Kluyveromyces lactis: one gene and its partner. The main gene of each other region encodes a partner of the protein of the gene in region 2 in a complex. Links are inferred from orthologs where the notes say so. Each region holds a gene or a part of one and is shown on either strand. Other genes may lie near its edges.

Region 1 (2,379 bases), about 810 kb from region 2:
TCCACTGAGCACCCTCTGTGTCACAATGTTTTGGAATATTTGAGATGCTATATTTGAAACAAAGGCAATCTTGGTGCCAAAAAATTGGGAAACTTTGAACGCTAAAAACAGTAGTGGTTTTCTCGTTTCTAACTGAAAACACTCATTCATGGCAGAAAAGAAATAGTGATTGAAAAATCCACTGTCGGGTTGATCAATTCTTCGAAGAACGTGATTAGTAGTTACCTCTTTATTGCTCAATTGAAAAGTGGACCATAATTTATGCATCATTTTTTGAATCCAGTTTTTTCTATCCCTTAGCTTACAGTTCTCTGCCTTTTCCCTGAGAAGACTCTCGCAGATAGATTTTACTATGTCTATCACTATGAATGGCTCTGCAATCTTCTCAGTCAACTTGTCTAGTAAAAAATCACCGAAGAAATCTCGTAAAAAGGCATTATGCAATCTTGAACCACTACTGAATCTCTCAACTATAATTTCAGCAATCGCATGGGGGTAAGTATGTTTGTATAATTGTAGCTGGTAAAAGTCATCTAATAACAACTGTTCTTGTAGCACTCTTCTCATTATCTTAACTTGTGTTTCTACAAATAAGGGTAAATCATCACATATTACTTGCTCCCACAAAATATTTGTATTATGAATATCATCTAACACATCATCAACAAGTTCATACAGATGTACTAAAAGCTCGGTGTCCGATGTTACAATTTTCTCCCCGTACCATGAGGTAACGAAGTTTTTCAATAGTAGTACCAAGATGGCATGTAAAGGAAGTTTCCAATCAGGACATCGAAAGATCTGCGAATGGATTTCCGTCGGATAAACTGAACAACATAGTTCTATGAGATACTCTCTTGAGTCCTTATTCTGTTCTGATATGAACGGAGCGTCGTTCGTGTTGATCTTTGTATTTAGCTGCTCTGCATTGATCTTGGTTTTGCGCTGGAATCTTGATAGCTGCTTCGAATTTGAGCTGTATAATATCGTCGGCATTACGGCTTAACCAGTTTAGAGCTGACACAACCTCAATTCTTCAGTCTTATTTGACAATGTTTAACCTTTTATTTCTCAATGGAACGACCATCCTTTTTTTGTTTGACATTCACGTTTTGTTGATGTTTTTGGTAGAAATATTCTATTGCTCCCAAACCTTAGCCATAACAGAAAAACCTTAATTGTACAAGCGCAGCGGGAAAAAAAAAAAATACCTTCAACTCATTCGAGTTTAGAGTCCATAGCACAATTACTCCCAGCACTTCATCAATTAGGAAATCTTTGGTGGCTCATGATGCGTGAACTGCTACGTAACTTGATAGAAGACAAAACGGTAATAAACTATAAGAAATGGTGGATGGAATGTAAAGATGCCCAAGAAACCAAGTTATTGGCTATTCTTTGTTTTTACGATATTGATGACTTACCGGAAGAGACTACAGCAGGTCTTGATAAGTTCGTCCTGGATAAGTTACGTGTTCTATCGCTATTAAGTCTCTGTGAATTATCTACTGAAGTGAATTACCAAGAGATTAAAGAGAAATGCGATTTAAAGACTGATGGAGAGGTGGAAAAGCTGCTCATACGTGCGGAGCTGTTTGTAGATTTGAAAATTGACAGTGTAGCAAGAAGGGCTACGGTACTGGAATATAAAATCAGTAGGGACGTCTACAGTGGTGAAAAGGGAGTACCTTTCCATACTCCTGTAAGGTCCAAAATCAACATTCTTTCTGCGTTGATTAACTGGAGAAGCTCGCTTACTGACTAAGTAAAATGATTTAAGCCCGATAATTCTGCATTACGGCGGTTCCGGTAAATTTATTTTAACGGATGGTTTTAATTGAACTCTAATTAAAAATACGTTAAACAACTAATTGCTATATGAATTTCATTTCTGATGAGCTAGAAAAGGTCAAAGAATCCCCCCACACGTACGAGACAACTCGTCCTGTGACCGGAACATTGATTTCAATATCCCATTAAAATGTTGCGCAACCTGTTGAGTAAGTGATTGTGACTTCATGTTCGGGTGTTGTCATTGTCTCGTGGATTAGCAGGGCTTAGAACTGTTGCATAGTCTTTTAGAGTCCGTTGAGAATATAATAAATAAATAGCAAAGGAGGGTATTTCGATGATGAACTTAAAGCCTCCCTTGACCAAGATACTGATGGTGCATGTTTGATAGCTTTCGATGAATCAATCATCAAAAGTGAATAATTCCAGTGTTCTATAATACGAGAACACAGAAATAATAATTGCATAATATGGTTGGAGCAATTGGAAACAACGAGAAAGTAAGTATCCAAAAAAAAATTTGAAAAAAAGATCATATCATGAGTCTCTTAGATCATTTCTTTTCGGTAGATGGTTTAGACCAAATAT
Region 2 (3,031 bases):
CCAGATGGTGATTTGGGTTCCAATGAAATTTTACTATCCACTGAGAATGAAGCATACGTGGGGTTGGTTGACGGTTCTGGTGTCTTGTGTGATCCAGAAGGATTAGACAAACATGAGTTGATTAACTTGGCCAAGCAAAGAGTCATGGTTTCAAGTTACGACAAATCTAAACTTTCCAAGAAAGGTTTCTTTGTCTCTGTCGATGATATCGACGTCATGCTACCTAATGGTGTCCTTGTCGCAAATGGTACTACTTTCCGTAACACTTTCCATTATGAAGTTTTCAAGTTTGTTAACCATATTGACCTATTTGTGCCATGTGGTGGTAGACCAAATTCCATTGATTTGAACAACTTGCACTATTTCATCAACAAAGAAAACAATAAGAGTAAGATTCCATACATTGTTGAAGGTGCGAACTTATTCATTTCTCAACCAGCCAAGTTGGAATTGGAAAGACATGGTGCTATTTTGATTAAGGATGCCTCTGCTAATAAGGGTGGTGTTACGTCGTCATCTATGGAAGTTTTGGCTGCTTTATCGTTGAACGACGAAGATTTCGTCGGCAAATTTGTCAGTACTGATGGTAAGACTAATACTGAACTGTATAAATCTTATGTGAAACAAATTCAAGAAAAGATTCAGTTCAATGCTAGACAAGAATTTGGTCAATTATGGAAATTAAACAAAGCTACTGGTTTACCAATGTCTCATTTATCCAATGTGATCTCGGAAACCATCAACAAATTGAATGATGATTTAATTGAATCAGATGAATTATGGTCTAACGATTTGAAGTTGAGAAACTATTTGCTATTAAACAAGATCATTCCTAAGTTGTTAACCGACGTTGCTGGGCCAGAGCAAATTTTGAAACAAATTCCAGACTCCTATTTAAAGGCTTTGTTATCCAGTTATTTGTCCAGTCACTTCGTCTATGAGTTTGGTACTGATGTCAATATGGGTAAATTCTTGGAATACATTGGTAACCTTAAGAGAGAAGCAAGCGATTTGGAAATCGTTTGATCAGAAACTTGCATTGAAACTCTTTTGTATTTGAAAAAGGGGGAAGTAAAATTCCAAATGTATATATATTGTGTACGGATGTGATGTAAACACAGCAAGATGCAATACTTATTTAGTAAGGTAGTGTACTTAATCACTTACTATTTTAATGAATTCCTATCTGTAATGACAAATCTTATCAATTATGCGCTCTTTCTAGTACGAACATTTTGTGAAATTTAAGATTCTATTTTACTTCGAATTGTAAAGGCAAGTAGAAAGTAAACTTCTCGTGGAAGAATTAACAACAGTGGTTTACTAAGTATCATTTTTCATCAAGAGTGTCTGGCCGCTTGCCTGCTACACCTTAGAAGACTGGGAATGAGGAATGAGCTCCATAAAATTTCATGAGAAATCCTTGAAAGAAGTCACTCGATGGATTCAAGCTAACGAAGACATCAATACAGAAACTTCACTTTCCAGTTCTAGTGATTCAAGCACGACGATTCCTGTAATAGACCACCTACCAGCAAGAATCCCGTATGCTACCGATTTGAAACGAAATCCGTGTCACTTTCAGAAATGCCTTATATCAAGACTTGCTACTACAAAGATGTTATCTCATGCGGTTGATGGTGGAGATATTGAAGTTATGGGGATGCTAGTAGGATACACTAGCAATGATATGATAGTTGTCAAGGATTGCTATTCTTTACCTGTTCAAGGAACTGAAACAAGGGTTAATGCGCATATGGAATCATATGAATATATGGTCCAGTATTTAGACGCATTTGTCACAAAAGAAGATAAGATAGTGGGCTGGTACCACTCTCATCCAGGATATGGTTGTTGGTTGAGCAATATCGACATCCAAACACAGTCTTTAAATCAAAATTACCAAGACCCGTACCTTGCCATAGTGGTCGATCCCAAGAAGTCTTTATCCGGAAACACTTTGGACATTGGAGCATTTAGGACACTGCCGTCTAAAGATAACAACGAGCATGTTGATTATTATCCACTTAACATTCAATTATATCAAAACTCACTTGATGTTAACATTTCAAAATTAAAATTGAAATTCAAGGTAGATCCAGCAATTCAGAACAATCCTAACGAACCGGAACTAATGAAAGAGCTACATGAATGTGTAGAGAATTGGTTTCATGCCAAAAAAGTGATGAAGTCAACTGTAGGATTCAATGCTATCGGATCCACCGTGGTTAATGAAACTGAGATAGGAAATGAAGATTTTACACACGAGAGGTCCAATTCAATCTCCTCGACCTCTTCCTTAACCACAAGGCATACTACTGATGTAGAAATGGATGATCAAGAGAGTGCTCAAAGTAGTCTTGATATACCGGCCAATGTGATACCTGGCATGCAGTTTCAGGAGGCAGAGATAAAGCATGAATACGAACTGAAGAAGAAGAAACTACTCTTATTGAAGGTTAAGCAATATCAAAAGTTAAGGACCTACAGACAACTATTTAATGCATCCGAATAAGCTTCACAGATGTTTTTAATGTCATACCCTCATCATCTGCAAATTTATCAGTCGAGGTTGAAATAGCGAGGGTGTTTGGATCAACAGGATTCGTTGCAATGCAATTCACCCTTACATTCTCATCTGAAATAAGAATGTTATTCGTTGGCTTTATTCCAGTACCAGCGGTTTGAAGTGGGTCCAACCCACCAAATTCAATGCAATCTTTGTCCCAGCATGCAACCTGACCATCGTACGATCCAATTAACAAACCTTTGGCACTGTTCAAGGATGCCTTGAATTTCTGCTTACCAATTTTGAATGGAAGTTCCAGTATATTAATTCTAGATTTTAACATTCGTGTATCAATAACATCGATTTCTCTTGCATTACGTTTAATACAGTACAAATAATGTCCGTTATCCGACTTAATGACTTGGTAGATTCCATTTGACCACGAGTCCAATGAATCACGCTCACTTATTAGTTCAGATTTAGTACTTCTAGTATCAATTCGTAGCACTTCTGTTTTATAAG

What was found.
Region 1: RRI1 (region 2) and CSN9 share a complex: the UniProt entries of both Saccharomyces cerevisiae proteins name them as parts of the COP9 signalosome-like (CSN) complex. The link is inferred for Kluyveromyces lactis from reciprocal best matches to the Saccharomyces cerevisiae genes RRI1 and CSN9.

The regions. Positions count from the first base shown.
Region 1 is NC_006040.1:1,529,711-1,532,089, reverse strand, and holds CSN9 (Csn9p), read left to right. Parts: upstream 1-1,288; coding exon 1,289-1,765; downstream 1,766-2,379. Other genes in the region: NVJ3 (Nvj3p), read right to left, coding at 1-996; KLLA0_D18117g (CybS family protein), read right to left, coding at 2,345-2,379. UniProt on the Saccharomyces cerevisiae protein: Component of the COP9 signalosome (CSN) complex that acts as a regulator of the ubiquitin (Ubl) conjugation pathway by mediating the deneddylation of the cullin subunit of SCF-type E3 ubiquitin-protein ligase complexes.
Region 2 is NC_006040.1:724,212-727,242, forward strand, and holds RRI1 (COP9 signalosome catalytic subunit RRI1), read left to right. Parts: upstream 1-1,393; coding exon 1,394-2,515; downstream 2,516-3,031. Other genes in the region: GDH2 (glutamate dehydrogenase (NAD(+))), read left to right, coding at 1-1,026; SWT21 (Swt21p), read right to left, coding at 2,499-3,031. UniProt on the Saccharomyces cerevisiae protein: Catalytic component of the COP9 signalosome (CSN) complex that acts as an regulator of the ubiquitin (Ubl) conjugation pathway by mediating the deneddylation of the cullin subunit of SCF-type E3 ubiquitin-protein ligase complexes.